Linked DNA regions of Macaca fascicularis. The protein of the gene in region 3 interacts with the protein of the main gene of each other region in a pairwise test. Links are inferred from orthologs where the notes say so. Each region holds a gene or a part of one and is shown on either strand. Other genes may lie near its edges.

Region 1 (3,647 bases), on a different chromosome or scaffold from region 3:
CCTGCCCAGAACTTACCTTTTTGGGTATTAGTTGCAAGTATGCCTATCCAGTTTTTAAAATCCTCTCTGATTTTGTTGTATAAACGGGTCTCGTTCTCCCTTACAACTTCTTCTCCTTCTATTAACTTTTCGATGTCCTGATTAAACATCTTGATTTTCTGAAAATGATATAAAGTCAACAGTCTGTGCTGAAATCATATGAAAGAACTGGGACCGGCGTTGTAAGGAGATGTCCACCCACATGCCTCATCTCATGGGTGAGGAGGGGGAAGGACACAGTGTCACGTGGAGGCCCGCGGAAGTCCTCACCTCAATCAGAAAGAACATCTTGTCGGCATCCTGGCTGGGGATGTCAGCACCGCAACGCCGCAGCTCCTCGGTCGCCTTCTGGTGGCTCTCCCTTATTTGTTCTTCTAACAACGGGAGCGATTTCTAAAGAAAACAATTGCAAACAATCAAACTATGGCTTAAGAGATTGGCCAACATAGGCCGGGCGCGGTGGCTCAAGCCTGTAATCCCAGCACTTTGGGAGGCCGAGACGGGTGGATCACGAGGTCAGGAGATCGAGACCATCCTGGCGAACACAGTGAAACCCCGTCTCTACTAAAACTACAAAAAAAAAAAACTAGCCGGGCGAGGTGGTGGGCGCCTGTAGTCCCAGCTACTTGGGAGGCTGAGGCAGGAGAATGGCGGGAACCCGGGAGGCGGAGCTTGCAGTGAGCTGAGATCCGGCCACTGCACTCCAGCCTGGGCGACAGAGCGAGACTCCTTCTCAAAAAAAAAAAAAAAAAAAAAGAGATTGGCCAACATATTTCTTTGGTATATGGGTAGGAACCCTTTAAAGCATGCAGGAAGATCTGGAATTTTTGTTATTTTGTGAATCTCAGTGAGATGGAAACCAGCCAAGGAGCCCAAAGAGAGTTTTGCATGCAACAGGCATGTCCCACAGCTTGGACGGCTTGGCTCGGAATTTTGCATTCTGCTGTGCAATTGGAGTGGTGAGGAATCGGGTGGTGGACAGTTTTTACTTTTGTTTTGTGGTGGTTGTTTGATTTGGCTTGGTGCCTTGTAATTCCAGAATAAGAACACTTGAATATAATGTGCAATGTCTTAGTAAAATGGGATTTTTGGTGACAGTGTGAGTGTTATAAACTGAAAAACACTGTGTCTTGGGGTTGGTGACACACTCCACACCTCATTTAATCCCCACACTGTCGTCTGCTGCTGCCAGTTTTTTGTCAGAGAAGAAACTAAAGCTCAGAGAATCCAATTACTTGCTATCTTCACAGACCTAGTGAGCAGCAGTGGCCAATAGCAACCTGCCTACCAACTCCCCAACCCTGCTCATAAACACTGCAGGTGAAGACACCGTGGGGAGCAGTGACCCCAGGTCCTGCCCTGCTGGACGAGGATGCTACAGCCCCTGGGCAGGGGGAGCTCCCTGGGACTTGGAGGTGGTTTGTGGGTTAGCATGCCAAGGCAAGACAGGTTATGCCAGGAAATTGATAAGGTCTCCTAGGCTCTTTTTTGGGAGACAGTTTGTATCTGTAGGCAAAGTGTATTACCTTCTGATATTTCAAATTGTCATTGTTACAATTCAGTCGATTTAACATTTAAAAATTAATTTAAAATATTATACATTTTAAATTAAAATGTTTGTGTTGAAAAAAGTTATAAAAATACAACATTTTTATTTTTGCAAAAACCAGATGTTTTTCTCAATTAGACAGGGATATAGCTTTCAGAAACCTCTTCTGCAAACTTAGTGAATTCCATGAATTCCACTGGAATCAGTGATTCTCAAAGTTTGTTCCCAGGAAGAAATGCAAATCCACAGGTCTTACATCTAAGTCAGAAACTCTGGGTCTGGGACCCAGGAATCTAAATTTTTTTTTTTTTTGAGACGGAGCCTCACTTTGTCGCCCAGGCTGGAGTGCAGTGGCGTGATCTCAGATCACTGCAACCTCCACCTTCTGGGCTCAAGCCATTCTCCTGGCTCAGCCTCCCAAGTAGCTGGGACTACAGGTGCACAACACCACGCTGGCTAATTTTTGTATTTTTAGTAGAGACCGGGTTTCACCATGTTGGCCAGGCTGGCCTCGAACTCCTGACCTCAGGTGACCCACCCGCCTCAGCCTCCCAAAGTGCTGGGATTACATATGTAAGCCACCATGCCCAGTGTGCCCAGCAGAATCTAAATTGTAACAAACTTTCCAGGTAATTCTTGTATACCTTAAAGTTGGAGAACCACTGGCTCCTTCCAACCAAATTTTCTTTGAGTATGTGCTTCCTGGCTCAAGTAAGTCATTGCTTTTGTTTAATACACAATTTAGCATGGGCCAAGTCCTAGGATCTGGAATAATCTTTGCTCAAAGGGTAAACCTAAATCTTCCCATGTTGCTTGGCCTCATTTGTGAAGGTTTAGGCAAGCATTAAAAATATTCAATTTCTCAATAACCACCAAACCGAAGTTTTTCTATAATTGATGATGTCATGAGTCCCTTGTCTGTAGTTGTCTGCTTTTGAGAATCCATAAAAATGGATTTGTTTCTTACAAACCAATTATTTCTTAGAAGTTTGAGGCTACAAGAATTTTTTTTTTTTTTTTTTTTAAGACAGAATTTTGCTCTTGTTGCCCAGGCTGGAGTGCAATGGCACGATCTCGGCTCACTGCAACCTCCACCTTCCGGGTTCGAGTGATTCTCCTGCCTCAGCCACCTGAGTAGCTGGGATTACAGGCATGTGCCGCCATGCCCAGCTAATTTTGTATTTTTAGTAGAGATGGAGTTTCTCTATGTTGGTCAGGCTGGTCTTGAACTCCTGACCTCAGGTGATCCACCGGCCTCAGCCTCCCAAAGTGCTGGGATTACAGGCATGAGCCACCATGTCTGGCAATAAAAAATTTTTTTTACCAGGAAGTATTAACAACATATTGAAAAAAGACAACTTGCTCGCTCAGTGGTCAGTCCTTTTTATATTGCTAAACTGGTATTACAATTTGTTTCCTTCTCTTCCCCCTCCCCACCTCTGCTGACCAATTCAACCCTTTGTTTTAACACTATGTACTTGTTGCTTCCCAGTTTGGAAGTTCTTCCTGTGAGCCTATGACGGTGAGTGAGACAGTTTTCAGAGGGTACTTGTTTGCTTGTTTGGACAGAACAGTGGGGCATCTTAGCCAATTCCAGAGCAAGAGAGTGACTTGGGCATGCTGTATTGATCACTTGTCACCCAACCCACGTGGCTCACTTGGATGTGCGTGATGAGTTCAGCGGTAAGTCTTTCTGCCAGTCGGGGAACCGTGGCTGACCCCTCCTCCAGCAGAACTCTGAAACGAGACAGACACTCATGCATTCAGGAAGGACTTGTGTAACATCTTGCTAGTACCGGGCTTTGTATGTGGTAGGTGACCCCAGCTCCCTGGGGCAACACTTGCCATCAGAAAAGCCAGGTGGTGCATGAGCAAGACACTTGCCACCAGCCTGTACCCAAGCAAGTGTGGGCCAGGAAGCCTCCTTCCCTTCTCCCTTTCTATCATCCCCACAAATTCATGAGGTAGGTCATCTTAGCTACAGGAAAACAAACCAGCCTCATGGAGATTAACTGAGTTGCCCGGATTAGTATTTTATTTCTCATCACCAAAGTACGGT
Region 2 (3,722 bases), on a different chromosome or scaffold from region 3:
TCCCGCTCCACGTCCTCGGAGATGGTCCTGATGTCGCTGGCGAAGGGGGAGATGCGCGCGCGGGTCTTGAAGGTGGCCAGGCTGCCGCGGGGCCGCAGGCTCCACTGGCGCGTCAGCTTGTGGGCCTCCTCTTCCTGCTTCATCCTCTCCAGAACCTCCTGCAGCACCGAGCGGAAAATCTGGGACACCTCCTGCACCTCGGGCTCCTGCTCCGCCAGCAGCTGCCGGAACCTGGGGGGGAGGGGAGGGCGCTGGGGCCATTCATCCACAACAGCGGGCCTGGCACCCCGGGGCGTCTAACCCCGAGGGGCTGCCCGTGCATCCTCGTGGCCAGTTAGTCCACTCCACCCTGCTCCTGAAGCGAATCAGGAACCACCCCACGTTGCTACTGATTCAACTAATCCTAAATTCAAATCTCAGCCCTGCCACCTCTGGCCTCCATTGGCCTTAGCCTCCTCGTCTGTAATCTGAGATGACAGCTGCCTTTTTGTGAGCTATAATGAACTAAGGTATGTAAAGATCCTGACACTTACCTAAGGTTGTTGATGATACAGCATTAAGGGGAGCCCTTTGCAGTGGCAGCCTTACTGATGGGAGGCCTTCTGGCTAGGCCGCTCCTGTCTCTTCTCCACCCCCTGGCCAGCATGATCTTTCTGAAACCTATATCTGATTATGTCACTGCCCCCGTGCTATTCCTTCCAGGTGCGCTGTTTGCCATGCACAGGGGTCCCCTGATACTTCCCTGGAAGACTCTGCACATCAGCTGGGAAGAATCACTTGTGGCCCCAACATGTCCCAGGTTCTCCCAAGGCCCTGTGTGATTTCCCAAGCTGTTTACTCTGCCTAGGCTATCTTTGCTTAGAGCTCACGAGTTAATGCTGGCAAGTCTATTTAATACCAGGTTTCCTCCACCAGATTGAGAGTCAGGACTTCTCAGCAGTGACATGAGACCGGAAATGAGACAGGACAATCATGACCTGTGTGCACTCAGTCTTCCCCCTCACTTTTGAGGTTTCATTTGCCAGCCCAGGTGCCCTTTTCAGCAGCTCCACCCCATGACCCACCCCTGTCCCCAGGTGCTTCTGGAATAGATAGGCTTTGGGAGGCTTCTGCAGTCCAGATTCAGAAAGCTGGGGGAGGGTAAGGTTCTCCACCCGGAGGAAAAAAGGGGTGGGGTGATAAAAGCTCTACAGAAACCAAGGAGTGTGGACGGGGCTGAAGAAGGTGAATGGGGCTGAAGGAGAGGAGTTTTTAAAGAGAATTTCAAAGAAAAAGGTGTACAATAAATGCATGTTAGTTAAAGGGATGGGTGAGGGAAGATTTTGGGAGACTAACAGGAATGTTAAGATGTTTTATTGTGGATTTATATTCCTTTACAAAGAGAAATGTAGATAAAGAACTTGAGTTATTTTGAAATTACTCGATGCTTCTTTGAGAACAGCACTGATTCTTCTGAGACAGGACCATGTGGTCACAGCTTCGGTAGGATCACATTTAAATTCAAGGAACATAGTTGTACCCAAGCTCTAAATGTGCAGTGCCCCAGAATTCTGTCTGAACCCCTCCTACACACTCTCTCACACACACTCTCTCACACACACTCACACACACACACTCACACACACACACACACACACACTCTCACACACACACTCACACACACTCACACACACTCACACACACACTCTCTCACACGCACTTTCATACACACACTCACACACTCACACACACACTCACACACACTCACACACTCTCTCACACACTCTCACACACACTCTCTCACACACACTCACACACACACACACGCTCACACACACACTCACACTCTCACACACACTTTCATACACACTCACACACACTCTCTCACACACACTCTCACACACATACTCTCTCTCACACTCACACACTCACACACACACACTCTCATACACACACACACACTCTCTCACACACACTCTCATACACACACACTCACACACTCTCATACACACACACTTTCTCACACACACTCTCACACACACTCTCATACACACACACACTTTCTCACACACACTCTCACACACACTCTCATACACACACACACACATACACACACACTCATCTGTGGGCAGACTAGCATGAAAGCTAACATAAGCTAGGATAATTAAGAATCTGATTTTGGAGAAATGTCTGAGAAAACTTCTCCAAGAAGGTAATATTGAAGGTAAACTGACGAAAGAAAAGAAGCCAGGTAAGTTAAAATCCAGGACAATAACAATCTGGGCAAGGAGAAGAGAAAACTCAAGGGTATTGTGTTCTCTTGAATCAAAACTCACACGCCTCCAGGAGCAGCCTTTTGCATCCTGCCTCCTGCTGGACCCCCAACCCTAGCCCAGCGTTTCATGGTCTCTTTCAGATTCCTTTTCCCCTCTTGCTCCTTCTAACAGGTAACTAGGTCATCCAGGCTCCCTGGCTCTAGTCCTGGTGGCTTCAGGCCCCTGCCACTGCAGCCACCTTTCCTGGAGCCTGCAGCCCAGCAGGGATCCCCATCCCAGTGCTCACCTGAGGATGGCAGGCCCACAATAGGATGGGTGGATCTTAACGCAGACATCCTCCAGCTGCAGCCGCTCACTGGGGCTGAGGTCATAGGTGGGCCGGGGTGTGCTGGCCAGCCAGCTGTAGTCCACACCGGTGCAGACCTTCCTGACCGCAGTGCTGCGCTCCCGCTGCTGCCTCTCAGCCTCTCGCATCTGCCCGGTCAGCTCCATCATAAGTGTCTCCAGCACCATCTCAGCAGGGCTCCTGGAGGACAGTCGGGATGGGGCCTCGTTCCACCGAAGCCATGAGATGAGAGACATAGCCCCTGGCCCTGCTGAGACAGGACAGGTGTGCATCTTTCCTGGGCCCCTCTGTTAGGGTGGGGAACCTGGGAACCCAAGGGGGAGAGAGGAGAGCTGGGACCCAGGGGAGAAGACCTGCTCCGCCCTAACAGCTGAGTGGCCTCAAGTAGGTGGCTTAATTTCCCTGAGCAATCATTTATAATTCTGTAAGACAAGATAGGGCTGTTGTGCCGGGCGCGGTGGCTCACGCCTATAATCCCAGCACTTTGGGAGGCTGAGGCCGGCGGATCACGAGGTCAGGAGGTCAAGACCATCCTGGCTAACACGGTGAACCCCATCTCTACTAAAAATACAAAAAATTAGCCAAGTGTGGTGGTGGGCACCTGTAGTCCCAGCTACCCTGGAGGCTGAGGCAGGAGAATGGCGTGAACCCGGGAGGCAGAGCTTGCAGTGAGCCGAGATCGTGCCACTGCACTCCAGCCTGGGCGACAGAGCGAGACTCCATTTCAAAAAAACAAAAACAAAAACAAAAATAAAAACAAAAAACATAGGGCTGTTGTGAGAAGCAGCTGTGAATAAACTTTGTACACTGTAGGCATCACATAAAAGTAAGAGACTCTTGTGGTTATGATCCTTAAAGCATCTCCAGGATTGTGCCCAGAGAAAGGGCCTCCTGAATCCCCACTTACTCCCAACAAAGCAGGAAACATATGGACTATGGCTGAGCACAAGCTTTCCCTATGATTTAAGGGGAACACATACACACACTCACACACTCACATACACACACACACACTCAGAACAGATACATCCTATGTCAGTGTACCAGGAAAACACCCTCAGTTTTTAAATGCCTCCAGCCTATTGACGAAAGACACAGAATTCTATGGGGTTGGCCAGCCG
Region 3 (3,647 bases):
GCTGAAGCGCAAACCACACGTCGGAGCGCTCGGGAGTCAGGTCCCATGCTGTGTCCCCCTCCTTGTTCCGCAGCTCAGGGTTGGCCCCACGTGACAGGAATAACCTGAAGAGGGGACAAGGTGCCCAATGTGGGGTCTGAGGCTGCAAGAAGTGGGGGCAGGGGCATCAAGGGCGGGGCAGGGGCTCACAGCACGCAGTCATGGTAGCTCTCCCGGGCTGCGATGTGCAGGGGGGTGTCCCCATGGTAGTTGACAGCATGGAGGTCGCAGCGCGCATTCAGAAGGACTTCGGCGATGGCGGCGCTGCCCGTGAAGGAGGCCCAGTGCAGGCAGATGTTCTCCTCCTGTGGAGATAGGAGGGGAACAGATGAGGTGCAGGCAGCTGGGCCCTTGAATCCAGCCTCCACCTTGCTCAGGGGCCTGGGGCTGCCCTACCTCAACCAAACTCTCACTCACGTTGTCAGTGAGGGTGACGTCGGCGCCCCGCGTCAGTAGCATGCGGATCACCTCGATGTGCTTGTGCTCTGCAGCCCAGATGATGGGCGTCCACCCCCCACTGTCCTGTGGGTGGGAAGGGAGTGAGGGTGGGGGCGGCTGGGCCTGCTCACCAAAGCTGCAAATGGTCAAGATTGGCTGTGTGTGTGAATCCCAGCTCCACCATTCACGAGCTGTGGGACCCGGGGTAAGTCACTTAACGTCTCTGGGTCATAGTTTCTTCATCTAAAAAATGGGACTAGTAGTGCCTACTGCCTGATGCCGGAGAGAAAGTAAAGTGAGTAATTGTTCTCTTTCCAAAAAATACAGCCAGGAGCTGGTCATGGAGGCGCGTGCCTGTAGTCCCAGCTACTCATGTGACTGAGATGGGAGTGTCGCTTGAGCCCAGGATTTCGAGAATGCAGTGAACTATGACTGTCTGTGAATTGCTACTGTACTTCAGCCTGGGTGACACAGCAAGACTCTGTCTCTTAAAACAAAAAACAAACAAAAATTTCCTCAGTCTGCCCATTCACAAGTCCTAGAAGCAGTGACCACCCAGTAATAATAAACACTCCGAGGTCCATAGACTATTCTCTAAAACATGTTTCTGGCCGGCGCAGTGGCCAGATCACGCCTGTAATCCCAGCACGCTGGGAGGCCGAGGTGGGTGGATCATGAGGTCAGGAGTTCAAGATCAGCCTGGCCAATATGGTGAAAATCCATCTCTACTAAAAATACAAAAATTAGCTGGGCACGGTGGCTGGTGCCTATAATCCCAGCTACTCAGGAGGCTGAGGCAAGAGAATCACTTGAACCCAGGAGGTGGAGGTTGCAGTGAGCCAAGATCACGCAATTGCACTCCAGCCTGGGCAACAGAGCAAGACTCCATCTCAAAAAAAAAAAAAAAGAAAAGAAAAAAAAAGTTTCCCATAAAGGAAGCAGAGTTTCTTAGAGAAATGGTGGATGCTGAGTCAGGGGCAGGAAATGTGCTGAAAGGTCAGGACGCTCTCAAAGGCCACTGGGTCATGTCACGGCCACAGAGGCCTCTTGAAGGGGCTTCTCCTAGATAATGATGGAATAATTCAAAGACTGAGAAGAATCCCAATAAATGACGAAAACACATCCAATGTATGACAACCTGAGAGTTAAAAAAGCCTCACTGGACACTTTCAGAGATGAAGGCAGGAACTGATTATTCTGAAGCTTGATCAAGAGAAAGAAACAAGAAAAAGAAAAGAATGAAGAGAAATACAAATGAGGAAGAAAGCAAGGGGGACAGACACAAGCGGCCTGAGGCAGAGTGAAAGGGCCAGAGGTCAGATGTAGAAAGGGGGCCCAAAGTCTGAGGCCGAGCCAAGGAACCCAGGCACCAGGGAGCCGGAGGAGCTGCGCTGGGTGGGCCACTGACCTGGGCGTTGACGTCCACCTGTCCTGTGCTCAGCAGCAGACTGACCATCTCCAAGTTCCCGATTTTGGCTGCGTGGTGGAGGCAGGTGGAGCCGTCCTCCTCCTGAGGGAGACATGGGCAAATGAGTCTCCGGCTGGCACCCCAAACCTGGTCCCTGACTCCGGGGCCACGCCCTGCTGCCTGCATGCACACCTTGCTATAGACACAGCCACCACGCTGCACCATGTAACGGGCCACCTCCAGGTGGTTGTTCACCACGGCCTCCATCAGTGGCGTCCGCTGCTGTTTGTCCACTGCGTTTATGTTGGCTCCAGCCTGTGAGGGGGCAGGAGGGCTGGCACCAGGGAGGCATGGGGCAGGGGAGGGGCCTAAGGGCCTGGTGAATGAGGCATGGGGCCGGGCCCGTGCTGACCTGCAGCAGCACATGGCAGATCTCCACGGAGCCCTTCTGGGCGGCTGCATGCAGGGGCGTGCGCTTGCTCTGCTGGTCGCTCTGGAAGTTGGGGTCCAGGTTGTCCACTGCGGGGAGAGCCCGCCACACCGGGAGAGGGAGGGACAAGTGGTAAGCAAGCTAGGGGGCAGGTGGCACTTCTTTCAGGAAGGCTTCTCAGAGCCCCAAGTTGGGTCAGGGCCCCTCCTGGCATTCTCTGGGCTTGCCTCCACCACGGCATTTATCAGAATAAGGAGTCAAAGGCATCAGCTCTGCCTGAATTCAAACCCTGCCTTGCTTCTCAGTACCGCTGTGCACTGTGCAACGTCCCTAACCTCCCTGTGCAAGCCAAGGCTAACAAGTATAAGCACTCAGAACAGGACCCAGCACCTATGAGTCACCACCGTTCCCATCGTCACGGGTTATGTGTGTCTTTTCCCCACCACACTAAGTCCTTCAGGGCAAGGACTATATCCTTCATGACTACTCCTGGCCCTGTGCCCAGTGCCTGGTATATACATGGAACTTGGTCAAGGTCTGCTGAAGGAATAGGTGGCACTCACACAGCATCAGGATCACCTTCTGCAGCTCGCCCTGCTTCACGGACAGGTACAACTGCCGAGGGTGGAAACGGAGCTTCTTCCGCCTGCCAAGGGAGCACGGGAGTGGGGAGAGAAGGGGAGCTCCTCAGATTCCAGCATCAGTCTTGACACTGCTCCTCTGGCCTCAGCCCCAGTTACTGTGCCTGAACAACTCCCCACTCACCTCTCTGACTCCTGGATGACCAGGGCCTTTTCCAAGGCCTCCCGGCCTGGCCCCAGTGGCAGCCCCACGGCTGAAAGGCAGCCCCCATTGGGCAGGGTCAGGGAGGGCCCTGAGCTGTCGATGGTGTCAGCCAGGGGATCGCAGGGTGGGCGCCGGGGCTCCCCATGCCCTCGCATCCGGGCGCTGTGGAAGAAGGAGCTCATGTCCAGGAACAATAGTGATGGGGCAGGGAACAGACAGTAGAGAAGGGGGAGGCCAGTACCTGGGCTGAGAAGTGTCTGCTCTCCCGGGGGCATCCTGGGACAGGGGTGGGGGTGCAGGAGCTGCAGCACCAGCCGGTGGGGTCACCCCATCACCCCGGGGGATGGTCACTTCTTGAGCTTCAGAAGCATCCTCCCCACAGTGGGGACAGAAGACCATCCCATTCAGCTGAGACACACAGGCCTTGTGGAAGCGGTGGGCCACACGGAAGTCAGGGTGGCATTCCAGGAAGGTGCCCTGGGAGCAGGGAAACGACATGGTCAGGTTGCCGGGGCCCCGTCTGCCATGGGGCATTCTACCTGTCTG

The links.
Region 1: the proteins of EHMT2 (region 3) and MX2 interact in binary tests that used the Homo sapiens proteins (3 or more experiments, as listed by UniProt). The two-hybrid records come from large-scale screens. The link is inferred for Macaca fascicularis from reciprocal best matches to the Homo sapiens genes EHMT2 and MX2.
Region 2: the proteins of EHMT2 (region 3) and RD3 interact in binary tests that used the Homo sapiens proteins (3 or more experiments, as listed by UniProt). The two-hybrid records come from large-scale screens. The link is inferred for Macaca fascicularis from reciprocal best matches to the Homo sapiens genes EHMT2 and RD3.

Annotation. Positions count from the first base shown.
Region 1 is NC_088377.1:5,602,859-5,606,505, forward strand, and holds part of MX2 (interferon-induced GTP-binding protein Mx2), read right to left. Parts: intron 3,326-3,647; coding exon 3,247-3,325; intron 433-3,246; coding exon 310-432; intron 159-309; coding exon 17-158; intron 1-16.
Region 2 is NC_088375.1:69,288,124-69,291,845, forward strand, and holds the start of RD3 (protein RD3), read right to left. Parts: upstream 2,939-3,722; 5' UTR 2,874-2,938; coding exon 2,542-2,873; intron 2,209-2,541; exon of another isoform or gene 2,076-2,208; intron 232-2,075; coding exon 1-231.
Region 3 is NC_088378.1:139,822,814-139,826,460, reverse strand, and holds part of EHMT2 (histone-lysine N-methyltransferase EHMT2), read right to left. Parts: intron 3,579-3,647; coding exon 3,343-3,578; intron 3,264-3,342; coding exon 3,081-3,263; intron 2,962-3,080; coding exon 2,879-2,961; intron 2,405-2,878; coding exon 2,298-2,404; intron 2,201-2,297; coding exon 2,078-2,200; intron 1,988-2,077; coding exon 1,886-1,987; intron 1,063-1,885; exon of another isoform or gene 805-1,062; intron 683-804; exon of another isoform or gene 562-682; coding exon 436-561; intron 345-435; coding exon 190-344; intron 105-189; coding exon 1-104. UniProt on the Homo sapiens protein: Histone methyltransferase that specifically mono- and dimethylates 'Lys-9' of histone H3 (H3K9me1 and H3K9me2, respectively) in euchromatin.